Macaca mulatta: one gene and its partners. The protein of the gene in region 5 interacts with the protein of the main gene of each other region in a pairwise test. Links are inferred from orthologs where the notes say so. Each region holds a gene or a part of one and is shown on either strand. Other genes may lie near its edges.

Evidence for each region.
Region 1: the proteins of XIAP (region 5) and PPIH interact in binary tests that used the Homo sapiens proteins (3 or more experiments, as listed by UniProt). The two-hybrid records come from large-scale screens. The link is inferred for Macaca mulatta from reciprocal best matches to the Homo sapiens genes XIAP and PPIH.
Region 2: the proteins of XIAP (region 5) and RFC5 interact in binary tests that used the Homo sapiens proteins (3 or more experiments, as listed by UniProt). The link is inferred for Macaca mulatta from reciprocal best matches to the Homo sapiens genes XIAP and RFC5.
Region 3: the proteins of XIAP (region 5) and NEK6 interact in binary tests that used the Homo sapiens proteins (3 or more experiments, as listed by UniProt). The two-hybrid records come from large-scale screens. The link is inferred for Macaca mulatta from reciprocal best matches to the Homo sapiens genes XIAP and NEK6.
Region 4: the proteins of XIAP (region 5) and ERCC3 interact in binary tests that used the Homo sapiens proteins (3 or more experiments, as listed by UniProt). The two-hybrid records come from large-scale screens. The link is inferred for Macaca mulatta from reciprocal best matches to the Homo sapiens genes XIAP and ERCC3.
Region 6: the proteins of XIAP (region 5) and SSX2IP interact in binary tests that used the Homo sapiens proteins (3 or more experiments, as listed by UniProt). The two-hybrid records come from large-scale screens. The link is inferred for Macaca mulatta from reciprocal best matches to the Homo sapiens genes XIAP and SSX2IP.
Region 7: the proteins of XIAP (region 5) and CASP10 interact in binary tests that used the Homo sapiens proteins (3 or more experiments, as listed by UniProt). The two-hybrid records come from large-scale screens. The link is inferred for Macaca mulatta from reciprocal best matches to the Homo sapiens genes XIAP and CASP10.

The regions. Positions count from the first base shown.
Region 1 is NC_133406.1:198,100,086-198,104,483, reverse strand, and holds the start of PPIH (peptidyl-prolyl cis-trans isomerase H), read left to right. Parts: upstream 1-1,479; 5' UTR 1,480-1,520; coding exon 1,521-1,586; intron 1,587-1,918; coding exon 1,919-1,983; intron 1,984-2,301; coding exon 2,302-2,325; exon of another isoform or gene 2,326-2,418; coding exon of another isoform or gene 2,419-2,444; intron 2,445-2,594; coding exon 2,595-2,639; intron 2,640-3,954; coding exon 3,955-3,997; intron 3,998-4,398. UniProt on the Homo sapiens protein: PPIase that catalyzes the cis-trans isomerization of proline imidic peptide bonds in oligopeptides and may therefore assist protein folding. Participates in pre-mRNA splicing.
Region 2 is NC_133416.1:125,289,080-125,292,918, reverse strand, and holds part of RFC5 (replication factor C subunit 5), read right to left. Parts: coding exon 3,820-3,839; intron 3,328-3,819; coding exon 3,191-3,327; intron 2,047-3,190; coding exon 1,967-2,046; intron 661-1,966; coding exon 587-660; intron 1-586. UniProt on the Homo sapiens protein: Subunit of the replication factor C (RFC) complex which acts during elongation of primed DNA templates by DNA polymerases delta and epsilon, and is necessary for ATP-dependent loading of proliferating cell nuclear antigen (PCNA) onto primed DNA.
Region 3 is NC_133420.1:23,460,047-23,463,885, reverse strand, and holds part of NEK6 (serine/threonine-protein kinase Nek6), read left to right. Parts: intron 1-332; coding exon 333-441; intron 442-1,326; coding exon 1,327-1,434; intron 1,435-3,839. UniProt on the Homo sapiens protein: Protein kinase which plays an important role in mitotic cell cycle progression. Required for chromosome segregation at metaphase-anaphase transition, robust mitotic spindle formation and cytokinesis.
Region 4 is NC_133417.1:9,997,228-10,001,066, reverse strand, and holds part of ERCC3 (general transcription and DNA repair factor IIH helicase/translocase subunit XPB), read right to left. Parts: intron 2,989-3,839; coding exon 2,939-2,988; intron 2,513-2,938; coding exon 2,377-2,512; intron 2,191-2,376; coding exon 2,026-2,190; intron 1,585-2,025; coding exon 1,380-1,584; intron 1-1,379. UniProt on the Homo sapiens protein: ATP-dependent 3'-5' DNA helicase/translocase. Binds dsDNA rather than ssDNA, unzipping it in a translocase rather than classical helicase activity. Component of the general transcription and DNA repair factor IIH (TFIIH) core complex.
Region 5 is NC_133426.1:130,313,879-130,318,212, forward strand, and holds the start of XIAP (E3 ubiquitin-protein ligase XIAP), read left to right. Parts: upstream 1-1,351; 5' UTR 1,352-1,563; coding exon 1,564-1,828; intron 1,829-4,334.
Region 6 is NC_133406.1:155,895,633-155,900,033, forward strand, and holds the start of SSX2IP (afadin- and alpha-actinin-binding protein), read left to right. Parts: upstream 1-1,418; 5' UTR 1,419-1,507; coding exon 1,508-1,550; intron 1,551-1,919; coding exon 1,920-2,089; intron 2,090-2,848; coding exon 2,849-3,061; intron 3,062-4,401. UniProt on the Homo sapiens protein: Belongs to an adhesion system, which plays a role in the organization of homotypic, interneuronal and heterotypic cell-cell adherens junctions (AJs).
Region 7 is NC_133417.1:106,284,906-106,289,178, forward strand, and holds the start of CASP10 (caspase-10), read left to right. Parts: upstream 1-1,446; 5' UTR 1,447-1,613; intron 1,614-3,679; 5' UTR 3,680-3,686; coding exon 3,687-4,021; intron 4,022-4,273. UniProt on the Homo sapiens protein: Involved in the activation cascade of caspases responsible for apoptosis execution. Recruited to both Fas- and TNFR-1 receptors in a FADD dependent manner. May participate in the granzyme B apoptotic pathways.

The DNA of each region.
Region 1 (4,398 bases), on a different chromosome or scaffold from region 5:
ATTTATTCTAAAACAGTTGGTATAAAATTATACTGAAGCATGACTGCTGCTGTTCCTTTTCTCCCTCTTCCCCTTTCTTCTTTTTCATTTGGAGGAGACCAAGAGGAGAGGATCAGTAACCAGGAATAAAAATGACCCTTTAAATTGAGACACACTGGATTTTTATATGTAATTCTTGCTTCCTCCGACGACAGAGCTAGAAAAGATGATCAAAGGACCTAGGAAATAATAACTATTATATTAAATGCATGCTGTTATAGCTAATGAGTCTTGCCCAAGTTCCCCTTCTTTCACTAAATTCATTGAATCTATTATATTTACCTACTATGTGCTATTCAGTAGGAGACATTGCAGCTACAGCTGCGAACAGGACTGAGAGAGTCTCTACTTTCATGGAGTTTATATGCTATTAGGGAGGAAGATGTATGTGTGTGTGGCAGGAAATGAGGTGCAGACACATACCATACAAATGTGAAATGGGGGGTGGCATGAAGAAAACAAACCAGTGATCTGAGTGACCAAGGGCTACTTTAGATTAGGTCTAATGTTGCCTCTGAGGAGGTAACATCTGGGGTGAGCCCTGAACTACAAGGAGCATTACTTCCCACACACATAGCCCAACCAAACCCCACCATCACCCCGCCAACCCACATTAAGATCTGGAAGGAATATTTCAGACAGAAGAAACAGCTATTACAAGGCCTTAAAGAAAGGAGGGATCTCAGTGACCTGGAGGAGCAGACAGGTCAGAGCACAGTAACTAAGGGCAAGTGGTACAAGATGAGGTCAGGTAGGTAATAGCCAGATTAATGCACTGGAGGGCTTCCTATGTACAGAATTGGATTTTATTCTAAATATAGGAAGCCAGGAGTTATTTTAAAAATAAATAGGAATCACAAGAGGTATTTTAAAAATAAAAAATAAAAAACTCTAGTTACTCTGTGGGAAACGAATTGGAAATGACCAAACTGGGAGCTTGTGGCAGAACGGAAACATAATCTATTGTCCTGACTTAGAGGAAGGGACAAATATTTACTTAGCAAGCCTTTACGTGCCAAGCTGTTCTAAACGCTGAGGATGAACAAACCAGAGATCCTGCCTTCACGGTGTTCACAGACTAGCGGGCAGAAGACAGACACAGCACGTGTGGCGGTGTAGAGGGCTTGGTTGCAAGAGCCGATAAGGAGGACCCTGGCGACTGCCTAGTCCAAAAGCCCTAGCTAGAGCAAGATCAACTTGTACTGCCCTTAGTACAGCCACGTGAGTGGGGTGACCATCGACCTTAACCAAAAAGATGTCAAGGCTTTCCTCCTCCTCACTCCCGCGTCCCCCGTCTCAGGGAGAGTCTCCCAGCTAGACCCCAGCAGCCTCAGCACACACGGCACGGGGCGACAGCTTCCGGGGGCGGGGCCCGGTCTCTCTCGGCGTCCACCGCGCCTGCTCCCCGGACGAAACCCGCGGACAGGGCTTTAGGTTCGCCGGAATCCCACGCTCCCGACTTCTGCTTCCGGGTCGGAGCCATGGCGGTGGCAAATTCAAGTCCTGTTAACCCCGTGGTGTTCTTTGATGTCAGCATTGGCGGTCAGGTGAGATCCAGGACGCTACCCACACCTGCGCCGAAGGGAAACTGCTCGGGGCTAGCTAGGCAGGCAGAACTCACCCAGAGAGAGCGGACTCGGGAAGCCAGCCAGAAAGCGAAATTGCACCCGAACCTACCGACCTGCAGGGCGGGGAGAAATGAGGAGAAGTCTCCCCAATCCTAGCGCCCCGCTTCTGGAGGAACTGGGCGGTTAGACCAGAGAGGCGGAGGTGGGTGATACCGAGCGGCAGGGTGGTGGGTCAGCCCATCCTGCCCCCAGCTCCGTGAAGCCCTCATGGTCTTGGACTGGGCCTTCTGACAGTCTCCCGCTGATTGCAGGAAGTTGGCCGCATGAAGATCGAGCTCTTTGCAGACGTTGTGCCTAAGACGGCCGAGAACTTTAGGTAAGGACGTGCTCCAGTTCCGCTGGATTAGCTGAGGCAGAAGTCGGGCTCTAGTCAGCCGCCTGAATAGCCTGTCTACCTCTGTCCGTCCGCTCACTGCTCTTGAGACCTGATTCCTCCGTGCATTGCTCTGTCTGGTTGCCGTTTGGATTGTTCCCGTGTTAATTTACGTTGTTAGTCTGTACGTCTCCGTGTTTGGACGTCTGGCTGGCCGATTGGTGGACTTGCTGGCTCCATTGTTTATTCTTTCCCGTCTTTAGAGGCGGTCACGACTGTGATGTCATAGTGATTGAATTGTTCACTTTTTGTCCCTTTCAGGCAGTTCTGCACCGGAGAATTCAGGTCAGTTTCAGATGTGTTTGACTTCTTTGCCTGCTCCAGAAGGGTGTTCTGGGGCTGCGGTGAGGGTATCGGTGAACCAGCTGCTGGCCTTGAATGATTGCTGGTGACAGTGATAGAAGGTAATGCCCCAAGGGTCTGTCCCTAGTTTATTTGCCTTCTTTATGTCTGTCAACCATCTTTAGGAGAGTCCTTTTGGCTCCAGTGCATGGTAAACTGGAAAGGCCTTGTGCTACCTGCTATCACTCCAAGTCTCTTTCTTTTTGTTATAGAAAAGATGGGGTTCCAATAGGATACAAAGGAAGCACCTTCCACAGGTAAGGCTTTTGGCAAGCCATCCTAGAGTCTTTCAGAAATATTTCCTGGGGGATTAGGCTCTTTAGAGGAAAATAAAACCAGAGGTAATTCTTACATTTCTTAAGAAGAAATGTTTTTGTGGACTCAATAACTGAAGATTTATTAAATATTCTAACTCTACTTATACTCTCCCACTTCTTATGTCTTTAAAACAGAAACTACTCATCTTTACAATATCCTGTCTTTTTCATGCACTTGTTTGTGCAAATGCAGATTTTTAAAGAAGTACACTTGTAATCCTAAAGTGCATATAATATATCCTGCTGGTTGCTATTTATAACTAATTCCTAAAATGATCATATATGATTGTCCAAGGATAATCATATTTCCTGGGGAGTGGAGTATGGCAACACTTAGTCTCATTTCAATATAGAATCTTTCTCATGGCCTCACTGTGGTTAGTAACAATGTTAGCACATAATTATATCACAGCTTTAGAACTGTGGGTCTCTAATCCCCAGTAAGACTCCTGTGAAGTGGTATGTGTGATCTGCATTCTACAGAGGAGGAAACTGAGGATAACAAAGGTTAAGGACCCTCCCTAGGGGTAATAGCTAACAATTGTTAAGCCCTTACATGTGTAGCAGTACCTTTCACATAAATTCTCTGTAGTTCTTTGCCCCAAATTTACATCAAATCCTTGATCTGCCTTTTGCTTTGGCAAGTAATGTGGTCATTCTTCCTGCAGGCTTTCAGCCCCTTCTTCTTGTTACTGTTCAGGTACCAGATCATGCACTTGATCAACTCTAACATGCCCTAATTTATAACTAAAATCCTTTTTTATGGTTAATTATCCTTTCAGCTTAATCATTCCAGGAAAAGAATAATCTTCTTTTTTTGTTGTTTTGGTTTTTGGTTTTTGGTTTTTTTTTGAGACAGAGTCCCGCTCTGTCACCCAGGCTAGAGTGCAGTGGCATGATCTTGGCTCACTGCAACCTCCGCCTTCTGGGTTCAAGCAATTCTTTTGCCTCAGCCTCCCAAGTAGCCGGGAATACAGGCATGTGCCACCACGACTGGCTAATTTTTGTATTTTTAGTAGAGATGGGGTTTTGCCATGTTGGCCAGGCTGGTCTCAAACTCCTGGCCTCATGTGATCTGCCTGCCTCGGCCTCCCAAACTGCTGGGATTACAGGCGTGAGTCACCGCACCCAGCTAAGAATGGTGATTTTATAATAGCCAAAGTTATAGTGTATTTTGAAATCAATGTTAATCTAATACAATAATAACAAAGTCTCCATAAAATCTTCTCTCAGTATTCTTTGCTCTCTGTTTCAGGGTCATAAAGGATTTCATGATTCAGGGTGGAGATTTTGTTAATGTAAGTACTATTCCTTTTCTATCAAAGACCTGTAGTTTTAGTTTTTATTATCGTTGCAATTGCTGTTTTTACTACAGAGACCCAGTCTTAAGGCTTGAGAACAATAGCCAGGTTTGATGGGGGTGTTGGAGAGAATGGTGATGGGGAAGTTCTTGGAAGTGGCTAGGTACAACTGACTGTAGATAACAGACTTTAGCACTTTGATTGAGGCATTAACTTCCATGGTCCAAATCTCAGCCTTTTTGAGCCAGAAATTGGACTTTTTAAGAATACCCTGTAGATGATCTATGATAGGTTCACACTAATTGGTCATATGAAACTTAGTCAGAAATCAGCTGTGGTTTGTTTTTGTTTTTGTTTTTTTCTGAATGGAGGTAAATCTCCTTCTAGTGGACTAAATG
Region 2 (3,839 bases), on a different chromosome or scaffold from region 5:
TGTCAAAGGAGGTTGAACACCAGTGACTGGCCAGACTTAAAAGTCCCCGCAGGGCTTAGTCCTTAGGCTGCTGAAGGGGAAGGTCCCACTGCAGAGGTATCTTGCCTGTATCATCAGATGGGAGACACACAGAAAGGCATAGAGATTTCTCTGGGCCAGAAGATGAAAACTGAAAACAAGTCATGCCATATCTCATGTCCAAAGTTCCTAATTCTCCTGTAATCCCAGCACTTTGGGAGGCCGAGGTGGGCGGATCACCCAAGGTCAGGAGTTCGAGACCAGCCTGGCCAACATGGTGAAATCCCATCTCTCCTAAAAATATAAAAATCAGCCGGCTGTGGTGGTGCATGCCTATAATCCCAGTTACTTGAGAGGCTGAGGTCGGAGAGTCGCTTGAACCCAGGAGGCAGAGGCTGCAGTGAGCCGAGATCGCGCCACTGTACTCCAGCCTTGGCGACAGAGCAAGACTGACTCAAAACCATCCCCTCCCCCCCCAAAAAAAACAATAACAGCAACAAACACGAAGTTCCTAATTCTCCTTCTAGTGCGCGCGCCAGCCCACACACTCCACAGTGCCTCTGCTTACCTCTTCTCAAGGCATTCTGGGCGTCCTGAGTCATGGCGTCTGCTTCATCCAAGATCACTAGCTTAAAGCCTTTCCTAGAAAAACAAATGGTGCTGTCTAAAGATTTCTTCAATCTCACCTCAACATCGGGGCTCAAACCTACATCTTCCCATGTGTGCCATCGGGTCCTGTCTCGGAAAGGCTATTTCTTCTAGAACTTTGGCCAAGACAGACATCTTTGGTCACTCAGAGAGGAAATACCCCATCACTCCTTCAACACTTGGTGGGAATGGAGGACTGACTTCTCTACTTCTATGCGCTGTGTCCTCTGGCATCTTCACTTTCCTCCACATACCACCCTACCATGCTACTGCTTTCCCCATCTCCCTCACTCACACCAGAGTCTCTCACCCTTTCGCTTTTTTTGAGACGAAGTTTTTGCTCTGTTGCCCAGGTTGGAGTGTAGTGCCGCAATCTCGGCTCACTGCAACCTCTGCCTCCCAGGTTCAAGCAATTCTCCTGCCTCAGCCTCCCGCGTGGCTGGGATTACGGGCGCCCACCACCATGCTCAGATAATTTCTGTATTTTTAGTAGAGACGAGGTTTCACTATGTTGGCCACACTAGTCTTGAACTCTTGACCTCAGGTGATCCACCTGCCTAGACCTCCCAAAGTGCTAGGATTACAGGTGTGAGCCACTGTTCCTGGCCCTCACCCTTTTTCTTTCTTTTCTTTTTTTTTTTTAGCCACCATCCTAGTTGTCTTTCCTGATCTCAATTTATTTTAAAATTCAAACTAGCTCATCCAGGCTTAGGGTAATCTAACCAGTTCTCAGGAACTAAAAATGAAGAATGCTTCCCTAAAGAACTTGGTAATACAGGCTGGGCTCACGTCTGTAATCCCAGCACTCAGGGAGGCTGCAGCAGGCAAATTGCTTGAGCTCAGGAGTTCGAGACCAGCCAACGCAACATGGCAAAACCCCATGTCTACTAAAAAATACAAAAATTAGTTGGGCGTGATGGCTCACGACTGTAGTCCCAGCTACTCAGGAGGTTGAGGCTAGAGGATCGCTTGAACCCAGGAGGTGGAGGTTGCAGTGAGCCGAGATCATGCTATTGCACTCCAGCCTGTACCATAGAGGGCGATCCTGTCTCCAAAAAAAAAGGGGAAAAAAAAAAAAAGAACTTGCTAATACAAGTGTAGACAACATTTTATTTTAGCAGTTGCATTATAATACTTCTTACTACCATCCTCTCCTTTATCTCTTTTCCATGGTTGCTTTGGACAAAGTCAGTATTTTTTTTCAACCCATATAAACTGGCTAAGGAGAGGATTAAAAAATTAAGCCATGTCATCTTACTAATCAAAATCAAGGGAGCGAAATTACACAAATAATTCTTACTTAAATATTGTCCTTGTGCTAGCAAAGCTCAGGATTGGTCCTCGAACGATGTCTATTCCTCGGTCATCTGAAGCGTTCAGCTAAACGTGGAAGACAGAAGTCAAAACAAAAAGCATGTTGCTATGCTATCTGTGAGTTCTTGGTTTTAATGTATCTCCTCATCAGTCCAGCTCAGCAGGTTAGCTTTCTATGTCTAATGATGGCTAAGAGATCATCACAAAATAAAAAATCAGTTTTACACAAAACTCACTAAATCAATAAAGATGGCTATATTACCCCCACCGTTTGAGGACAATGACTGACATAAGCTGGAGAAATAATTAATTGGTATGGTTACACTGAATAGCACCTCCGGTATGAGCAGAATGATACAAATTTCAGCTACCACAATCCCAAGGTTACCAAGTTCTTAATAAACTGACATAAGGACATTAGTAGCAGCAAAGTTCTGAGACCTGCGTCTAAAAGGTAAATTAAACTTTTCTTGCAATAGACAATATTCACATTTTTGAATCTAAGTATGTTAGTCAAGGTTGCAGCAATATACAGATGGCATACTCAAACGCAGCAATTTGAAGAGAATTAAACAAGGAGATCTTTTTAAAGGTGCGATAATAGGAAAACCATGGGGCTATGCAATACCCGTGACCCTTAAGCCTGAAGGGGTTAGTGAAGGGAGTGGCTGTAGGCACCTGGAGAGGGCTGCAGGAAAGGTACCACCTGTGAGATGTACCCTACAGATGGGCCATGCTGCCAGCCTGTCAGCCCTCAGGGAAGGTCCCGGCATCACTCACTTCCTTCCCCTACCCCTGCCAAGGCCTCTATTGGCCAAACCCAACCAGGAGCCAGAGGGTAAGTAAGCTTATAGTCAGTAGAGCTCAGCCTTCCAGGCAGGAATAGGGTGGAGAGACGTGGAGAATTGATCTGGAGGGGCCATGGCAGACAGGCAGCAACCAAGTAACCATAAAGGAGGGTTTGGGTAGAAGTTGGCAACAGCAAAGAAAAAGGTGCCTAGCCCTACAACTGCCCTCTAGCTGACCAACACTAATCCAGACTAAAATGACCATTATAGGAAAAAGGGAATTAAAATATCTTATTTCGAATTTACTTCTTTCCTAACTGTCCATGGGGCAACTTACTTTTAAAGTAAAATAAAGCCAGCAGAACTGAAATTCAGAGACTGGAGTCCTAAGTTATTTGTGGAGTAAGAACAATTGTATTTACCTCCAAGACCATGGAGCCAAATTCTTTGTCTTTATACAGCTGTTTCGCACAGGCTAGGATGGTAGATGTCTTGCCTGTCCCTGGGGGACCATAGAGAAGCAAGTGTGGCAGTCGGTCTTCACTGATAAACTTCTGAACTGAGGATCAGGAAGGAAGAAGGGCACCATCAGTCTTTGGGAGCCGCCTCATTCACCCTGGGCTCCTGAGTTGGGCTGAAAGCTCTTCAACCCAATGCAATGTCCAAATCAGAGGCAGATGCAACTTGATGTAGGGGCCTTGTCTCTGCGTTCCTGGGGCAACTGGAATTCACTCAATAGTGCAGCCAGCCAGCAAGTATTTATTGAGGGCCTACTGTGTTACAGGCACCTTTCTGGGTGCTGACAACATCTGTAAACTTAAATCATTCGCTGTAATGCTATTTTTACTCCACTGAGTTGCAATTTTATGCTCATGTTCGTGACTTACCCACTAGACTGCAGCTATCTGAAGAAGATGAATGAATGATCTTAAAGCCACATTCTACAAAGCTCAATCAGATTCTTTGAAGTTATTACTTAGGAGAGACCTCACCAAGAAATTCACACAGGTCCCTCAACCAGGACAAGAGCAACTGACACATGGATACTTACTGGTACTCAGAATGTCCTGA
Region 3 (3,839 bases), on a different chromosome or scaffold from region 5:
AAAAATGTAGTTGAGGGCCACTTTCAGCATATTTGATCTGGGTGTCCATGCAGCAAAGCCATTCGGACACACCAGGCCTGTCTAGCCCTCACGGAGCTTTCGGGGTGGGGACAGGGTGGCCGCGGAGTGCCATTCAGGTAGAAGGAGAGGCGTGGACACATCACTCTTGGTTCTGGGCTTATTGTTGTTTCTCAACTGCCCAATCCCCACTCCCTCCCCCGTGCCAGGCACCAGTTGCCCACTGGGGAAAAGACAGAGACAGTGCCCTGTGGTCACCCACCTCCAAGCCCGCTCACCCGGGCCTATCCCTCTGCCTGTCTCCCCCGCTGCAGTACTTTAAGAAGCAGAAGCGGCTCATCCCGGAGAGGACAGTGTGGAAGTACTTCGTGCAGCTGTGCAGCGCCGTGGAGCACATGCATTCACGCCGGGTGATGCACCGAGGTACGCGCCACCCGCCAGGAGCCGCCCGGAGCCCAAGTGCCCCTTGAGCCCCAGGAAGACGCTTCCCATGGCTCCTGCAGGGTCCTCAGGGGCAGCCCCTTGAGGAAGTTGGACCGCTCTGTATTCCCTAGGCAGGGAGGCTGTCCAGCAACCACACACACACGCACCCGGGTCAGGGACCTAGGTGGAAAGTGACGTGAGCCCCAGCACCACTTCCAGTTCCCCACAGCAGCCTGGGAGGGAGGTGAGGGGAAGCCCCGCACACAGGGGCCTCTCATGGGGGCTTTGCCGTCCCAGCGGGCTGGGCTGAGAACGGGAGGCACCTGAGAGGGATGTTACCATAGCTGACATCACTCCGAGTTGTGAGAAAGCAGCCTGGTGGGTGCCTGGCAGGGCGCGGGGTCCTTTATGTAGGCTGCTTCCTGAACACCTCCGTTCCTTAACTCTACCTGTATATCTCGGTGTCTGCTGTATTTGAGGTCCCGCCCTCGCTGAGGGCTACGGCACAGGGTGCCCCACTGAGCGCCTCCTTCATTCGTTACACAGATTTTCCCTGAGGGCCTCCTGTGTGCGAGGCACTGGTCTAAGCCTGGAGGATACGGCTCTAGAGCCGGAAACAGGAGCGCAGAAACCCCTGCTCTCTTAACCCTCACAGTAGCCCTGTGAAGTTGGTGAAGGGAGACCCATTTTACAGGTGAAGAAACTGAGGCTCAGAAATGGTCAATTTCCCGAGGTCCCACAGCCAGAGCCAGGACAGGGCCTTGCCCTGAGGGAGCAGGACCTGGGCTAGGCCTCACCTCACCCGGAGCTCCCCCTTCGTCTCGTCCTGTCCCACCTACCCCGAGCCTCCTACCTCACACCAACCTCCTTCTGCTCACCCTGCAGACATCAAGCCTGCCAACGTGTTCATCACAGCCACAGGCGTCGTGAAGCTCGGTGACCTTGGTCTGGGCCGCTTCTTCAGCTCTGAGACCACTGCAGCCCACTCCCTAGGTAAGGGGGACCTGTCTGTGCCCCAGCATCCCCCAGCGGTCCTGGTGACCATGCAGGGAGATGCAAACATTCTCCCCACGTGTCTTTGGTCAGTTAGGGCAGGAGGATGCCTTTTTTAAGCCCCAGAGTTTTCTCATCTGTTCAGAACAGTGACCCAGAAGGGAGTCAGCCATGGCCAGAGGAGTCCAGCTGGGGCTTCCCGCACCCTCTGGTCACCTCCCGGCCCTTGCAGGAGAAGCTGACTGAGCCGGTTGCTTGGAGCTGGGGGTGTGTCTGTGGCACAGGGCAGCATCTTCCCACTGCTGTGAGTGTCTCGTTCACAGGCAGCACCCGGGGTCCGTCCCTCCTGGGGGCTGGACATTTGTGCTGTTCCTCGTTTTTGGCCTTTAAACCGGCGGTTTTGAGGCTGTGGGTGCCAGGTGCCTGCCAGGGAGGAGGTGACATTGTAGCTGGACCATAAAGGGTGACCAGGTGCTGCTGGGACAGGGAAGGCGGGAGCAGTGTTCCAGGAAAGAGTGGGTGAGCCTCGGCGTGCAGCTGAGCCTGGCTTTGCCACAGACCAGGGTCCTTGCAGGAGCGGTGAGAAAGGCGGGCAGGGCTTTGAACTCTGAGCTCTGTGGGCTGGACACCACCCTAGGGGTCGGGGGTTGCTGAAGGGCTGAACTCGGGAGGACACTTGGTCAGATGTGTGTTTTGGGGACACGTGAAGCAATGGCAAGCTTTAGAATCCATACACTGGGTATGTAACCAAATGTGAGACTTAGAATGCTGGACAATGGAGGATTTTTCATTTAGCGAGAACACAGGAACCAAGAAAGCCCCGCATTCCCCCGCAGTGGGACACAGGAGCAGGGTCTCCGGTGCGTTGCTACAAGGCTGTCTGGGTTTCACCTTGCCCATCTGTGGGCACATTTCCCAGAGGCCCATGGAGTGGGCGAGGGCCCCTGCTTTCTCGGGGCTAGCTCCTGGCTCTTTGAGGTGCGTTTGCAGAGGAAGGTGCCCCCAGGCCCACCCACTGTGTGCTGCGCCCACCAGCATCTGCTTCCCCAGGAGGGAGCTGGGCCCCAGGAGCTGCCCGCCGCCTCCTTGAACACCGCCCCATTCCAGCTCATTTCCACCCCACTCCATGGCTCAAGCCAGGACGTCTCCCATCCCCAGACCCCTGAGTGCCTGCAGCAAGTGGGGTGTGAGAGAGAGCAGCATTGTCTGGGCGGAGGCACTTTCTGAAAGTCACAGTGTCCTGTGGAAAGTATCACTGTTCACACAGATTCCAGGGAGACTCTCAGCACGTTGCACACAATTAGGAGAAACGTACGAGCCTAGAGACTAGTGGCTCCCAGCAGCTGCTGGAGCCAGCGGGGGTAGCGGGGAGGGGGTTGTTTTGAAACTCTCGTCCCCACCTGGCCAGGCCTCAGGAGCTCTTTTAGCTCCAAAGGGAAGATGTGTCTGGACCCACCCCCCGGGGAGTATGGGACACTGCACTCATGCCCCTGACAGCCCCAAGTATCCAGCGATCCTTCCCTTTAGCAGAAGAAGAATCTGAAATCCAGGTGCTCGAGAGATTTTCCTGAGGTCACATGGCAGCAGGCCTCTCCTTCCAGAACCCACGCTGCTTCCAGGAAACGAGGGCCGGGGCCTCCGTGGATACTGTCGGAGCCCCCCTTTGGGGACCCAGGCCACCGACTCTCTGTTGCTGGAAGGAAGCCTCGTCTTTCCCTGTTCCCTCAAACATTGACTTCCCTTGTGAAAAACCAAGTGTTTCGGTCACTTTGGGACTATTTACCTATGTGGTTGAAGGGCTTCGAAAAGACCAGGAAATTCAAGGGAAGTTGTCAAAGAGAAGAGGTCAAACCGCCGCCTCCTGTCCCCTGTCAGTCAGCACCGAGCCTTTCTCTGTCCCACTGCAGAAAAGAGACTGCGGCGCTCCGTCAGAGCCGGTTAGGATCGCATCATTAGGAATGGGCAGAGATGCGTCTCATCCGACAGTATGATTTTATTGACTTGGACTGGTGCACTTATTATATTAATGAGAAGGAATTGGAACTTGGGAGAAGGCCGCCCTCATAAGCTGGGCTCTTCCCGAGCCCTCCGAGCGCCGACCAGGCCATGTGATGGGTGGAAGGAGCCCTCCTGGGGCCTGTCCCCGCTCCGGGCTGTGTGCCCAGCATCCAGGAGAGGTGGCCAGTGAGCTGAGGCCTGCACGGAGCTGAGCAAGTCCATCAGCAGGACGCGCTCCCAGAACCAAGGGCCTGCACCCACCAGCTTCCATAATGGTGACAGTGCCGAGCCAAAGCCCCTTCCACCAAGAGGTTCTGCAGACTGCTGACTAAGTCTTGCACACACGTTTGGTTGGGCAAGAGATTGAACTAATTACCATTGCATCATGACTCAGGAGGGGCACAGGG
Region 4 (3,839 bases), on a different chromosome or scaffold from region 5:
AAACAAACTGGTGAAAAGAGAAATGCCTGTTATTGTCATTTTAAAGATAGAAAAACCTGGCTGAGCCACCTTGGCACGGTGGCTCACACCTGTAATCCCAGCACTTTGGGAGGCTGAGGTGGGTGGGTCACTTGAGGTCAGGAATTCAAGACCAGCCTGGCCAACATGGTGAAACCCTATCTTTACTAAAGATACAAAAAATTAGCCAGGCATGGTGGCGGGCGCCTATAATCCCGGTTACTTGGGAGGCTGAAGCAGGAAAATAGCTTGAACCCAGTAGGCAGAGGTTGTAGTGAGCCGAGATGGCGCCACTGCACTCCAGCCTGGGTGACAGAGCAAGACTCTATCTCAAAAAGAAAAAAGACAGACTGAAAAACTAAAGCAGAGGAGTACTTTGCCTTGCCCACAGTCACGGGACAGTGACACTGCTGGGGCCCAGCATGCCTGGCCCACAGAAGGAGGGACTTGGCAAAAGAGCACTATTATTATTACACAGCGAACGGGGCTGAGACTTCAGGGATGCGCTACGTGTGTACAGAGAAGATGAAATTCCAGGAGCTTCTGAGTTTACCACCATCCACCATTTAAAGATCAAGAGAAAAATCAAGCTTTTCCATTAAACAGAGATCCTTCCTTTATTATAAAAATACATTCTGTTGAGTTACCAGGAGTAAATGCAAATAAAAAAAATTGCAAAGTGAAATAAAAAAGAAAAACACCATCAAAAAACCCTTGGAGTTTTGGAAAAAAAAGAACCTCCCCTTCCCTGAAGACCTTGCCTCTGTAAGTCCTCAGTGGGGTCCCAAGGTGAGTCTGCTGTGGCCTCTGGCCAAGAAGCTAGGCTAGGATCTGACATTACTGAGGATAAGTGGTCAAACAGGTGCCCAGGGGGCCACTCCTGCCTTTCCCTGGACTTGCACACCATCCTAGCCATCCAGGAACACCAACGTTTCTGTGCTAGGGAGTCTCCAAATACACAACCCCTAAGGCTGATTCAAGAACAAGAACCTAACGCCACTATGTGCAACAGCCCCTTGCCATTATTACAATCTCACCCCTTATCTGCTCTCATTTTTCTTCACTGCCTCTAGCACCACCCAAGATTGTACACATCTGCTTACCATCTGTATCTTCCCCAGAAGAATGAGCTCCATGAGATCAGAAGTGTTGTTCTAGCCACCATAATACTCCCAGTGTCCAGGCCAAGGCCCATGCACAGCAAGCACTCGAATACTTGTCAAGTCATGAATCAGGGAGTCACCTGATCTTGGCTTTTTAGCAAAGTGTGATTTAGTGACATGCGCAGAGAGAAAGCAAGAGGCAGCTGGCAGATCCAGACACAGCAGCCTGGCCACCTTCTTAACTCCAGAACCACCTACCGCAGGGAAGAACAATGACCCCCGAACGTGCACGCCCGTTTCCAAACATCTTTCTCAAGCTCTTCTCCTGATAGGGTCTGAGGACAGCTGTGGGCTTTAGGTCAATGTTGATATCAGGGTTGACAGAATCATTCCGGAAGTCGTATTCTGCCAAGAGAGGGTACTCCAGGTGGATGCAACGTTTCTGGAGTTCCTCAATCATTTCCTGGAAAGTAGGCACAAAAAAGGTTTTAAAATCTTAACTCCAAAGTGTGCTCAAAAACATCACATCTTGTAACAGGTCTAATGGTCAAACAAGTGGCATTCTGTCTAAACTTCTACAGTTTTAGATCTTGCTCAGTTAACAACTGGGATAAAGCACAGAAAAGCAACCCAAACTAATAACACTTTCAGGCACTGTTTCTCACATCTCCTCAGCAACTTGTGAAGACCAGCCTACCAGCCTGAAAAAGAGGACACTGGGACTTTAAATCCATCAAGAGGAATGATGCCATGGCCCACAGATAATGAAAAGTAGAAAGCAATGCAGGGACCAACAGGGATTCCTTTCTTTCACACAGACTACAGGCAGAGTTGACACAGGGCTGGACTAACTTCTAACAGCAACTCAGTGAGGGAACCAGGAGGAAGGTCCATTCACACTAACCTGCTTGACTTCAAAAGATACCGTCTGTGTCTCTTCTTCTTCTTCCTCATCCTTGTCCATTTGCTCATAGAAGTCAAACAGGTCCATGGGGATGTCAGATTTACCCTGTGGATCTGTCACTCGGGAAGTGGAGGGCCCACCACTGCCTTCAGCAGTCTTAGAAATCTGTGAGAGAGGTAGGTGCTGAATGTGCACACATCATTTAATTCTGCTGGTATCAAACAAAGGGTGAAGTTGTAAAGGGTAGAAACCAGCAGGGCTGCCAGGTTGTAAATGCTGGGTAAAAGTCACCTGAGAACTGAAACCCTAAATGCCTGCCCCCACCCAAGGGTAGCCCAGGAGTCCACGTACGGCAGATTTGCTTGTGAAAGTCTCTGTGATGAGCTCAGTGGCCTCCCCTTCAGAGTTCCTTAAGCGGCATTCTCGGATCACCGGGTCCTGGAGAAGATGCTGGATTACATCAGGGTGGGAGCTTTCAACGAAGTATCTGCAAGCAGGAGAGGAAGAAGCAGTCTGCTGACCAGCAGGTACCTCCTCATTCCACTGCTCATTCAATCAGACGGTCTGGAAATACAAGCCTCAAGACTCTCCCCGCAACCCTTCGCCCAATCTGTACTATGAGCTGCTGGCCATGATTTAACATATGAGGGTTGTGGGCAAAGCCCCACTTTGAGGTCAAGTAAGCGGGGGCCTGAGCCCAGCTCCATTGCTAGAGGAAATACAGTGGCCAGTGGACGAGTTTCCAGTCTGGGCCACACCTCTTGTTCCTCTTCTCTTATCTGTGCTTCAGAGGAGTGTGGTATTAGCACAGAGCAGACAGCATAAACATCAGGTCCTTCCCATATCCCTTTATTCCTGCTGGTGCGCAGAGAGTGACCATGACTCGGGACAGGCCTGTCACGGAATCTCTTACCTGTTGTGCTTCAAGACCAGCTTGACTTTTCCATAGCTGACAGTACACAACTGCAAATAGAGATAACACCCAATAGGTAAATGTGCAGCTAACTCAGAACACATTCACTACTGGTCACATCTTACCCCAACCAACCAAGTGAAAAATTCATTTTACTTTAGGACAATCCTAACGGGTTCAGATCTGCCTAAACTGAGCTTTTCCCATTGGCCTCTGCTTTCTGAGAACAAAATCTTCCTCTTGCCTGGCTAATTCTGATGCACATCCATTCAGTTATAAAACGCTGCTTAAAATCTCCTTGCATTCTGCCTTTCCTCTCTATTCCCACAGCCCCCACCCTAGCCTGAAGACCATACCAGTATTACAACAACTCTTTGCACAGAGTATGTGCACAGTAATTGCTGCTTAAACAAAATGCAAAGCCTCTTCACCAATGCTCCTATTTCCCCAAATAGAATGTAAGCATCTTGATGGCAGAGAATACAGCTTAAATCCTCCCAGGTTCCCAACCACCTTTAGGAAGGAATACAGTAGAGGCTGTGTGGCAACAATAAAAATTTGCCACTGAGTCCAGGCATAGTGGCTCACGCCTGTAATCCCAGCACTTTGGGAGGCCGAGGCAGGTGGATCACCTGAGGTCAGGAGTTCGAGACCAGCCTGGCCAACATGGTGAAACCCTGTCTCTACCAAAAATATAAAAATTAGCTGGGTGTAGTGGCGGGCGCCTGTAATCCCAGCTACTTGGGAGGCTGAGGCAGGAGAATCGCCTGAGCCCAGGAGGCAGAGGTTGCAGTGAGCCAAGATTGTGCCACTGCTATCCAGCCTGGGCGACAGAGCAAGACTCCGTCTCAAAAAAAAAGAAAAAAAAATTTGCCAGACTTTAAGTGGCTGCCTGTTCCCG
Region 5 (4,334 bases):
TCCAAAGCCAAGGTTTCTGTCGTTCATCAGTCATCCTTCCACCTTTCACTCTTAAACTCTCTGGTAATTCTGTTTTTTCCTCCTTCTCAAAAAGCTCACACTCTGCTAATGTGTATATATTGTTCACTTGAGTGCTTCTAAATAAATATTTACTTTTCAAAAGAGTGAAATCTGAACTATTAGCATGGAAACAACCTCTGGGAAGACAAGATCTCCACTCAAAAGCTTCAAATTGAGATTCTCCTGCTCATGTTGAATGATGGTTTTATCTAATATTTTCTGAAATAGGGTGACTACTTGAACTACACAAAATTGTGAAATGAGAATATCTTTGATTTTATACTTTGTTTTTTCTTTTTTTGAGATGAAGTCTTACTCTGTCACCTAGGCTGGAGTGCAGTGGCACAATCTCGGCTCATTGCAACCTCTGCCTCCCAGGTTCAGGTGATTCTCGTCCCTTGGCCTCCCGAGTAGCTGGGATTACAGGCGTGTGCCACCATGCCTGGCTAATTTTTGCATTTTTTGGTAGAGATGGGGTTTCACCATGTTGGCCAGGCTGGTCTTGAACTCCTGACCTCAAGTGATCCACCCACCTTAGCCTCCCAAAGTGTTGGGATTACAGGCATGAGCCACTGTGCCTGACCACTTACATCTATTTTGATTGACTTGAAATAAAATTTAACACCCCAGGGAAGGCAATTCTCATGTGTTTTGAATTATACTGAGCATTAATTCTTCAGGATAATTATAGACTTGGAAATGTTTAATCCAGTCTCCTAGTCCATGCTGAAGCTCCTTTAAGTGATAGGAGGAACTCATAATCTACAAGGCAACCCAATCCATTTGTTGCTATATCAATTGTTATAAAGCTCATCCTTGGGTTAAAATTGGCTGTTTATAGTTGTATTTAATGACCTTAATTCTGCCCTCAAGCTATACAAAATGTGGATCTCTTTTCTACATGATAACCTTTTAGATATCAGTCTATCCTCCCTACCCTTCCCCTCACAATTTTTCCACCCTTTGCGATAAATATCCTTTGCTATTCTAACTATTTCTCATATGATATCATTTTTATCATCCCAATTGCTCCCTAAGGACATTAAACTTTGTTAATGTCCTTTCCAAAATGTATTTGGAACTGGAAATAATATCCCTTGGTAGCTGAATTGGATCTGGATGTTGCACATCTGGACACTAATGCAGCCTGAAGTTGCTGTAAGTTTTTTAGTCAACTTGTAATGTTGGCTCATGATGAATTTGTAATTAATTAAAATTCCAAGGTTTAATCTGGAGGATTGCCTTTATGTGATTTTTTCTTAAACCAAGTCTCCATTTTCTTTTAGTTATGCAACAGATTTTTTTTTTTTTTTTTTTTTTTGAGACGCTCGCTCTGTCACCCAGGCTGGGGTGCAGTGGCACGATCTCAGCTCACTGCAACCTCCACCTCCTGGGTTCAAGCAATTCTCCTGCCTCAGCCTCCCGAGTAGCTGCGATTACAGGAGTCTGCCACCACGCCTGGCTAATTTTCTTTGTTTCTTTTTTTTTTTTTTTAAAGTAGAGATGGGGTTTCTCCATGTTGGTCAGGCTGGTCTTGAACTTCTGACCTCAGGTGACCCACCCTCCTTGGCCTCACAAAGTCCCGGGATTATAGGCATGAGCCATTGCACCCGGCCCTTTTTTTTTTCTTTCTTTCTTTTTTTGAGATGGAGCCTCACTCTGTTGCCCAGGATGGAGTGCAGTGACATGATCTTGGCTCACTGCAACCTCCGCTGCCCGGGTTCAAGGGATTCTTCTGTCTCAGCCTCCCGAGTAGCTGGGATTACAGGTACCTGCCACCACGCCTGGCTAATTTTTGTATTTTTAGTAGAGATAGGGGTTTCACCATGTTGGCCAGGCTGGTCTCAAACTCCTGACCTCAAGTTATCCGGCTGCCTTGGCCTCCCAAAGTGCTGAGATTATAGGCATGAGTCACTGCACCCGGCCTATGCACCAGATATTTTTAAAAAACCAGATGTAAGACTTTACACTTACCCCTATTAAATGTTATCTCATTAGCCTATCAGGTAGCTTTGGTTTTTTACTTTTATTTTATTTATTTATTTATTTTTTTGAGACAAGAGTTTCGCTCTTGTTGCCCAGGCTGGAATGCAATGGTGCGATCTCCGCTCACTGCAACCTCCGCCTCCTGGGTTCAAGTGATTCTCCTGCCTCAGCCTCCCAAGTAGCTGGGATTACAGGCATGTGCCACCACGCCTGGCTAATTTTGTGTTTTTTAGTAGAGACGGTTTCACCATGTTGGTCTAGCTGGTCTCGAACTCCCGACCTCAGGTGATTTGCCCACCTTGGCTTCCCAAAGTGCTGGGATTACAGGCGTGAGCCACTATGACCGACTGGTTTTTTTCTTAAGACTAGTCAAGTGCAGAGTGAGAAGAGGGAAAAGAGTAGAACAAGGGGTTTGATCAGCCTTGGTTTCTTTGAATCTTGATTTTTGTCATTCGGTTTATTATGCTGATTCAACAGAGGGCCCTGAAGCTAATGTTGGAATGTTTTCAGACATCTAGGAAATGATAATTCATCAAAAGTCATGGAGACTATTCCAAAAGTTTTATGCAGATATAACTCAGCTGTTGAGGTATGAGTTAATACCACTATAAGTTGACATGGCCAGGAAAGACAAGTCCATTGCCAACTTGCTTTGTGTTGAACATTACTCCAAAAGAGATTAAATTCTAAGACATATTGTGTCAACATAAAGGCAAAAGAGCTGGCTAATTCTTCTCAAGAAATCAATGGCTCGACCTTTTGGCTCATGCCTGTAATCCCAGCATTTTGGGAGGCCGAGGTGGGGGATCACCTGAGGTCGGGAGTTCAAGACCAACCTGACCAACCTGGAGAAACCCCGTCTCTGCTAAAAAATACAAAATTAGCTGGGCATGGTGGTGCATGTCTGTAATCCCAGCTACTTGAGAGGTTGAGGCAGGAGAATCGCTTGAACCCAGGAGGCAGAGGTTGCAGTGAGCCAAGATCACGCCATTGCACTCCAGCCGGGGCAACAAGAGCAAAACTCCATCTCAAAAAAAAAAAAAAAATCAATTAATGCACATATAATATAGAGACAGAGTTCTTGTTACCATTATTTTGCCTTTGACAAGTTTATATTGAGCACATTATCAGGCAATGTGGGAGATTCTGGAGAACCAGGTTTGCCTCATAGCTAGGGTTACCATATGCTCTAGTTTGCCTGGGGCAACCCTGATTTATGCCTGTTGTCCCAGTGTGATTATTGCTAGTGTGATTTTTCACTTTGAGAAGTGTCCAGGTTTGGAAGATAAATTATCTTGCTATCCTTCTCATAACCTAATGGGTTCTCTTTAGTATTTTATCTGGGTTAAAATTACACAGCTGTAATTTGGCAGCTCTAATAAGACTGCAACAATACTTATCTTCCATTTGAACAGATTGTTACTTGACCAAGGGGAAGTTTTGTTTTTTTTTTTTTTTTTTTGAGGCGGAGTCTCGCTCTGCCGCCCAGGATGGAGTGCAGTGTTGCGATCTCGGCTCACTGCAAGCTCGGCCTCCTGGGTTCACGCCATTCTCCTGCCTCAGCCTCCCCAGCAGCTGGGACTACAGGCGCCCACAACCATGCCCGGCTAATTTTTTGTATTTTTAGGTGAGACGGGGTTTCACCCTGTTAGCCAGGATGGTCTCAATCTCCTGACCTCGTGATCCGCCCGCCTCGGCCTCCCAAAGTGCTGGGATTACAGGCATGAGCCACTGCGCCTGGCTACCAAGGGCAGTTAATAGCAAAAGTAACTGCAGGGCACATGTATGTCATGGGCAAAAAAAAAAAAAAAAAAAGCAATTAAGGTTTGCAGGTACTTAGAGTTTCTCCTGAGCCACTCTCTAGAGGGCAGTATTACATATATATCTGTAATTATCCAGTTACAACAAAAAAGGGGATCTGGTTCATGCATGAAAATCAGAAATATTTCATACTCTTAAAGAACACATTGGAACCAATATTATGATTAAAACATATTTTGCTAAGCAAAGAAATATTAAAATTAATTCATTAACATTCTGAACATTTTTTAATTTGTAAAAACTGAACTTTGATGCCTTGAATATATAATGATTCATTATAACAATTACGTACAGACTTTAATAATCTGCATATTTTATGCTTCTTTCATGTTTTTCCTAATTAATGATTTGACATGGTTAATAATTATAATATATTCTGCATCACAGTTTACATATTTATGTAAAATAAGCATTTAAAAATTATTAGTTTTATGCTGCCTGCTTAAATATTACTTTCCTCAAAAAGA
Region 6 (4,401 bases), on a different chromosome or scaffold from region 5:
ACAGTCTTAAATATTCAGAACAATGGTTGTGAGCTCTTGATCCACAGTCCAGATTTGGCCTAAAGACACATTTTACTTGGCTTATTGCATAGTGCTGTTGTTTGAGGTATAACTAACTTACAGTCAAGTGCACAGATCTTAAAAAGTGTACAACTCGATGAACTGAACGTGTGTATACCGGTGTAACCACATCTCAGATCAAGATGTAGAAAGTCTTGGCACCCCAGAAGCCTCACTCATTTCCCTCTCTAGGCACTCTTCTTTCCCACAGGATAACTTAATACATAGAGGTTTTTTTAAAATTAGCTACTAACATTTTAAAATTGGGAGACTTCACATAAAAATCCGGAGTTCCAGTATCTCATAAAAACATCTAAGATCAACACAACTGCTTTCCCCTTGACCACAATTTATTGTAGCCAAGAAGCAGCTGTCCACAGTATTGACATGTGTTCCCCAGGTTGCATACAGTCTTCACCCTTCCTCCTCTTCCCTCTGACCTTGAAATCAATTGCCAGTTGCCACTTACAGTTTCGTTTGAATTGCTTTTCTTATGATGGAGAAATATTTATCTCTTCCATTGTCTCTATAAAAAAGTGAAAACATAAATGGAAACAGAAAGGGTGTCTTATACTTAGTCCATACCATTTGTAGTTTTGGCTGTTTGTTTGTTAGCCATCTAATTCTACACAACAGTTACGTTTAAATGCTGTATAAATATATTGGTTTTTTTTAGCCATTCTATGGAAACATAAGCACGTGTGATTTTTGTTTTTTTGATATTGTGAATAACAAATTTTAGATTAATCTTTGTACACATCATTTTATTAGGATAATATTTTAGAAGTAGATTTTCTGGATCAAAATATATTTTCATTTTTAAGACTTGATACATATTGTCAGCTTTCTTGGTAGTAGTATAAATCGCTATAATCTGGAGAGAGTATATGGAAGTGTTCATTTCTCTACATCTTTGCCAACACTGGGAATTGTAATTTACAAGTTTTGCCAATATAGTTGGTAAAAACAACAAAAAAATGGAAATGCTGGCCAAGAAGTTTTTCATCTTCTCATCTACATAAGTAATTGTATTTTATTTTAAAGGATATAATATGGAAATATTACTTAGTACAATACTATACCTTAGATGTATGTTGAGTCAAATCATGTACCATGTATCTTGTGTATAAAGTAATATGAATACCTCAGTAGAACTTGGGAAGCCTTTAACCTTGATCCTTACATATTATTTATATTTCTGTGTATATACACACACACCATGTTCTGTCTCTGTGCATGGGAATAAATATTGCAAAATCCTTCGTTTTGAAGCACATACAACTAATTCTTAAGCATTGGGTTTATATTGGCTTTCATATTTTAAATTAGATGCTATTATTCTATAATCTGCTTTTTAAGGAGATGCCTACATAGAAGAGTGACAGCAGCTGGACTGAATGTTTAACTGCTGAACTAGTTCCTCAGGTTCCTGGCTCTAGAGATTGCTATGGGAGATTGGATGACTGTTACAGATCGAGGTCTGTCTTCAGGTAACTAAGTCTAAATAATTGTAAACTAAAGCAGAAACTGTAAAGGTGAATTTTTCAATGAAAATATAAAATAATTACTGCAGATGTTGAAGATGTGACTAAAGAGAGATAAATGGTTATAAAATACTTATTTTCATGCCTGCTGAGAACACCACTTTATTTGTATCTTTTTGGAAAAAAAAATATATAGTTTTCATAAAAAAGAGGCTTTGCCCTAATTTGAAAATACCTTAAAATATATATGTATATAGTATAATTATATCTATGTTTATGTGTATATATGTAATTCAAGTCTTTAGTAATGGAGATTATGCTAGCTTTACATACGTTTTTCTAAATTATTTATATAAGTGCCTTTTATTCTTTCAGAAAGCAAAACTATCTCTCAGTATACCTCAGAAATAAAGATGTCTCCATCAAGTTTATACTCACAGCAAGTGCTATGTTCTTCAATACCTTTATCAAAAAATGTGCACAGTTTTTTCAGTGCCTTCTGCACAGAGGATAATATTGAACAGAGTATTTCATATCTTGATCAGGTAACATGTTTTTGTAAAAAACAGTAGCATAAATCATGTTATATAATAGAATGTATCAAAGTTACGAGAAAAACATTTGTCAAACTCAAGTTTTTTGTTTATATAGTGCCCCTGAGACTTAGATTTTCAGAGAACCTTGGTGATTATCTCATCTAGAGATAGCAAGCAAGTCTAACTTTTTTATCTGGAGCAGGCTGGCCTCCTCATTGTCCCAGGGGCTCCTCCACTGAGAGTCTAGCCATCACTTTATGGATGCAGAAACCCAAGTGCCTTGCTCCATGTCACAGATTTATAGCAGAGGCTAAAAGAGCCCCGTCCTTTTATCTCTTTGTCCTTTGGGATATTGACCATTTTCTTAACTATTTCAAGATAGTTTTCTATTTTTCTCAGAAAAGATTTCTATCTTTTGTTTTTTTTAAACTAAGTTGTCCAGTAACCAACCGTTTAAAATAATTCACATATATTTTTAATTTTTAATTGACAAAACTTATATATTTGTCATGTACAACATGATGTTTCAGAATACACATTGTGAAATGGCGCAGTGCGCATACCTCAGATACTTATATCATTTTTTTTGTGGTAGAATTTACTCTCTCAGCAATTTCGGGAATATAGTACGTAGTTATTAGCTGAGGTCACCGTGTCATGCAATAGATCTATTGAACTTACTCTTCCTATCTAACTGAAAGTTAGATATCCTCTGACCTGTATCTCCTCAACTGTAACCAACTTTAAGAAAACATTTTCTCCTACCAGGAATTGACTACTTTTGGTTTTCCTTCATTATATGAAGAATCCAAAGGTAAAGAGACAAAGAGAGAGTTAAATATAGTGGCTGTTTTAAATTGTATGAATGAGCTGCTTGTGCTTCAGCGGAAGAACCTTCTAGCTCAGGAAAATGTGGAGACACAGAATTTGAAGCTGGGAAGTGATATGGACCATCTACAGAGCTGCTACTCAAAACTTAAGGTAGAAATTGCGTATCTGTATTTTGATGCCATAATTATATAATTGAATACTATAAATTTTTACTGACTTTATTAAATATTTCAGGGTTTTCTTAAGCTTTAGGGTTTTCTTTTTAAACAGGTAAATAAAGGTCAACTTATAATTTGCACACATCTGCTTCCTAATACCTACAGTATATTGATGGCATTAATTTTTTGAGCTGTTTAATGACTTGCTGAATCTGTAAAAAGTTAGGAAATATTCTGTGCTCTGGGAAAATAAAATAACGATTCTGTCATCCAATCTTGGTTAAGAAAGTATATGCTTCATTTAAAAGTCTTATTGTAAGAGGCTGCACAAGTTAATTCCAAGAAAAATATTATTGAGGCATCTATGATGCCACATGAGCTAAGGCTCAATAGTTAAAGCAGACTAGATAACTTCTCTTAGAAGCCTTGGGTCTCTGGAAAAGACTATAGAAAAATCCTTAGTAAACTTGCTTTTCTCTTAAAAAAGAAAGGAAGTATTTTTCACAGGACCATTGAACCTACTAACTTTAAAATGTAGAATATTTGATACTGGTTTCTGTTTTGATTTCTTTCTTTTTCTTCCTTTTATGTTTTCATTTGTATTTTTAAAATGTTTATCCAGGGAGAAGGGAACAACAAGGTGTTCAAAATCATGGTGTGGTCGGGACTTATAGTTGTATATTATTAAGGATGTAATATAAATCAAGTCAAATTTTTTCATAAATATACTATTCTATATTGGGTTTTGTTATTTGTGAAAATCAAAGCCTTTGCATTTGTATACTGTCAGATGATCAGCTTCCTTTTAGTTTTTCATCTGTTGGTCCATGCCCCTTTACTTTTCCTTGTTTTTCTTTGTGTACATCCTCCCCCACTGCACGCTGTCTAAGAAAACAATCAAAAAACCCACTCAGGATCTTGAATCTTTGAGCTCTGTGAGGGAATAATAGGACCTCTCTATAGAATATTTAAAAATCCCGTAGCAGGAAATGTGCCGTGATGATGTGGCATAGAGTTGGCCTACATGGGAACACTAGAAACACTTGGGGATTGGTTTAGAGACATCTTCGCTCTTTACGAGCACCTGTGCCTACCAGCCTGTCATTGATAATGCTGTCTTATGTTGTCTTCTTGGTTCATACACAATGATAAAAGTGTGTTTTCTCGCAGTAATGTTTTTAGGCTTTCGTACATCCTATATTCCTAAGGGGTAGAGATGATCCAGCTATGTCTCTTGGGGAAACTGTGGTAGATTGCAAAGGGTAGTTGGTGACCCCCAGGCTTGTGAAAAGGTTGTGAGTTATGGATGCTACTTTAATCCAGATCAGAGAG
Region 7 (4,273 bases), on a different chromosome or scaffold from region 5:
TGGCTAGGTTGGTCTCATGATCTGCCCATCTCAACATCCCAAAGTGCTGGGATTACAGGCATGAGCCACCGCACCTGGCCCCAGGACTTGTCTTTCTTAAGCACAGAAGTTCTCTGAATGATGCCTAGGACATGGAAAGGACATTTTAATACATTTGTAATCAAAGCATTGTAAGTCTTGCTTTTTTTCTCATAGAAAAATCATCTTTCTAAGACTCTGTACCTCTTTCCAGAGTGCTACATATTTGAGTTAGCTTAATTATAGTGTAGTGACTTTGATCCAAACTTGCTGGTTTAAATTTTGGCTCTTCTAGCCACTCACTGTGTGACATTGGGCAAATTACTTAACCTTTCTGTGCCTTAGTTTTCACATGTTAAAGCAGCGGTCATAGTAACAGAATTTATCTTAGAGTGTTGTTGGGATGGTGAAATGAGTAAATATTTGTAAATGCCCTGTACCTGACACACGGTAGTTGCAATATTAGTGTGCAGTATTGTTTTTATTATTAGCAATAATGTCTTCAAAGTCTCACTTTCCTGCTGGTTTGAATGTGCTGTGAGAACACATACTGTCAGTTTTGTCTGCCACAAATTGGTTGAGTCTCTTGCAGATACCTCTAAATGGGCTTGTAATTCACCATCCCCACTTTTCTTTCTTTTTCCTTTCTTTTTCTTTTTATTTCTTAATTTCTCCCATAAAGTCTGAAAGTGAATCTCCACTTTTCTTTTATCTCTTAAAAATTCTATTTGTGGGCCGGGCACGGTGGCTCCACGCCTGTAATCCCAGCACTTTGGGAAGCCGAGGCAGGTGGATCACAAGGTCAGGAGTTTGAGACCAGCCTGGTCAACACAGTGAAACCCCATCTCTACTAAAAATACAAAAAATTAGCCAGGCGTGGTGGCACATGCCTGAAATCCCAGCTACTCAGGAGGCTGAGGCAGGAGAATCACTTGAACCCGGGAGGCAGAGGTTGCAGAGAGTGGAGATGGCTCCATTGCACTCCAGCCTGGGCGACAGAGCAAGACTCCATCTCAAAAAAAAAAAAAAAAAAAAAAAAAGTAATTTGTTTATTTGCATGTGGACATAAGAAAGGGTTAACACGGCCGACAACTATTTCATGAGCTTTTTGGCTTTATTTGAAAAGTGAAGTGTGTTTGGGGAAGGAGACGGTTAGGAAAATAGATGCTCCCGTGTTTGACTTACCAAGGAAACGGAGATCAGAGGAAAGCCTGGAGCACTTCCTGGCTTCCACGGGTTCCTTTCTAGGAAGCTTTTGCTTTACCTGGGGAAACCCCAAGCTCTACAGTGAGAAAGTTGTAAATTAGCCTTTAGGAGACGCTGTTTGTCAAAGTTATCTTAACCCTGGAAAAGGGGAGGGAAAAAGGCAGATAAGCAATGATGACATCAGCAGGAAATTAATATCAGGCTACCCAGTCCTGAAGATTCAGTTTTCACTTAACGATCAGCAAATCTTGAAGTCTCTTCCCAAGCAAATGGGAGCTTCCTTGGACCTTGGAGCACACAGAGGATTATACTTTCTTTAAAACTTTGTTTTCAGGCAATTTCCCTGAGAATCGTTTACCTCCAGAGGATTGGTGGAGCTTGATCTGAAGGTATGTAATTAACGACCCTTCTTACCCCAGAGTCTCATGCTTGGATCTTTTCCTTTGCTTCATGGCTTCATGTTGCAGAAACTTGCAAAAACTTGTCAGCAATGGCACTATTTTTTCTTAGATTTCTTTGTCATGCCTGGGAAAACAAAAGTTAAAAAATCCGGAAGCCTCCAACATAGCCTTTTACTGGGGCAGAAATATGTTAGCTCACAGAGACAAAGTTGGGTAGACTCACTAAAACTAAAGATCGGAATTGTCAAGAAACCACAAGGCAAATGCAAGATGCGGTAGAATAGAAAGGTGTCTCCAATAAACCACTCATTTGACCTCAGGGCTAGTAGCAGGGAAGACCCCCTGGATTATCACAATTAAAAATGACATTTTTTGTGTTTTTTTTTGTTTCTTTTAACACCAAAAGTAATGTGTGTGTTCACATATGCATAAAATTTGAGAAATTCAGTTGGAAGCCCAGAAGGAAATATGTATTATCTATAGTTATGTCACCTCGATATAACGACTCTTTGTTATGGAGGTTTTGATTTTTGCTATGTTTTCCTTCCTTCCTTCCTTCCTTCCTTCCTTCTTTTATTTATTTATTTATTTATTTATTTATTTATTTATTTATTTAAGATGGAGTCTCGTTCTTTCACCTTCCAGTACTCAGGCTGGAGTGCAGTGGCGCAATCTTGGCTTACTGCAACTTCCGCCTCCCAGGTTCAAGCCATCCTCCCATCTCAGCTTCTGGTGTAGTTGGGACCATAAGCGTGCACCACCATTAGCCTGGCTAATTTTTGTATTTTTTGTAGAGATGGGGTTTTACCATGCCCAGTCTGGTCCCGAACTCCTGGCCTCAAGTGATCCACCCACCTTGGCTTCCCAAAGTGCTGGGATTATATAGTCGTGAACCACGGCACCCCACCTGTTCCTTCCTTTATAAAGTATTTTCTTATTTCTAAAAATAGCCAAGTTCTGCATAATAACTATATACCTCAAATGCTTATAGAATAAATAATATTACAATGAAAATTTTATCACTGCATTGCTCCTCTGATTATGATGAAATTTAGTATAGAGAATAGCGTAGTTTATAAACTGGTCAGATGGAAACATTGACTCGTGTAATTTGTATTTTTTTAGTGAAAACAAGTTTATTAGAGAAGCAAAGAAACAAAAGAATGGCTACTCCATAGACAGAGCAGCCACCTCATGTAATTTGTAACTTCCTACACTGATTTGAGCAACTCTTGTCTAAAGCCACCCTTTCCTGCTAAGGTCTAGGATATTTTATTTATTTTTTTTCTTTTTGAAACAGGGTCTCACTCTGTCACCAGGGTGGAGTGCAGTGGCATGATCATGGCTCCCTGCAACCTCTGCCCTCCAGCCTCAAATGATCCTTCCACTTCGGCCTCCTGAGTAGTTGGAACCACAGACACGTACCACCATGCCCTGATAATTTTTTGTATTTTTAGTAGAGACCAGGTCTCGCCATGTTGCTCAGGCTTGAGGTCTAGGATTACGCCTTCCCTTTCTGTAAGATAAAGGCCTGCCCTCTTACAGGTAGCAGTCTGAAGTAAAGATGTAACACACATACTTCATGGTACCTCGCTATCTTTGGGTTGATAGATCATAAGGATAACGCTGCCTCCCCCAGATTGCTTTGTGTCTAAAACTTAAAGCATAGATCCAAGTGCTATTTCTGCCACTTGGTGGAAATGAATGTAAGGGCTCCAATCAGGTTACCAGGCTTGAGGGAAATTGTGCTGTGTCCCTCCATCTTAACTTTCTCCCTCTGGGAACATTTTGATTTGGGGAAAAATCAAGGTGATTTGAGTTCCAATATAAGCACCCTCCAAGCTTCCTAAAAAGTAACTTGCCAGTGTTGGGGGAAAAGTTTTCTGGGCTGTTGGTTTTTGAAGTAGCCTCGCAGTAATTTTTATTTGTCAGCACTTCCAGGAAAGTCTAATGCCCGGAACGGAGGAGGCTGTGGTGAGGGGAGGGCCTGGGAAGTCAGGGGGCCATATGTCCTCACTCTCTAATGCCCTGCCCCACCTCTCTGTCCCTTTCAGGCTGGCCATGAAATCTCAAGGTTCCAGTTCAGATAAAAACTGTAAAGTGAGCTTTCGTAAGAAGCTTCTGATTATTGATTCAGACTTGGGGGTCGAAGATGTGGAGCGCCTCAAGTTTCTCTGCATAGGATTGGTTCCCAACAAGAAGCTGGAGAAATCCAGCTCGGCCTCAGATGTTTTTGAACATCTCTTGGCAGAGGATCTGCTGAGTGAGGGAGACTCTTTCTTCCTGGCGGAACTCCTATATATCATAGGGCAGAAGAAGCTGCTGCAGTACCTCAACTATACCGAAGAGAAAGTGGAGCAATTGCTACCTATCCAAGGAAAGGTCTCTCTATTTAGGTGAGGATGGGTCTATGGTGGAGATGGGAGGATCTCCCATCTAGTGTTCGGTCTGGCCGTTGGGCTTTGAAAGGAAGCTGCAGTTAAGATCTTTTGGTTATCTACCTCCTTGGATGATAAACCGGGAGATTCTAAACCTCCTTCTCAGCCTCTGATGCTAATGAGCTGAGAGTTGAGAGGTCAGCAAAACTTCAAGACCAAACTCTGGGCCTAGAGGTGGCTTCCCTTTGTTTTACTTCTCACTGGCAGTGA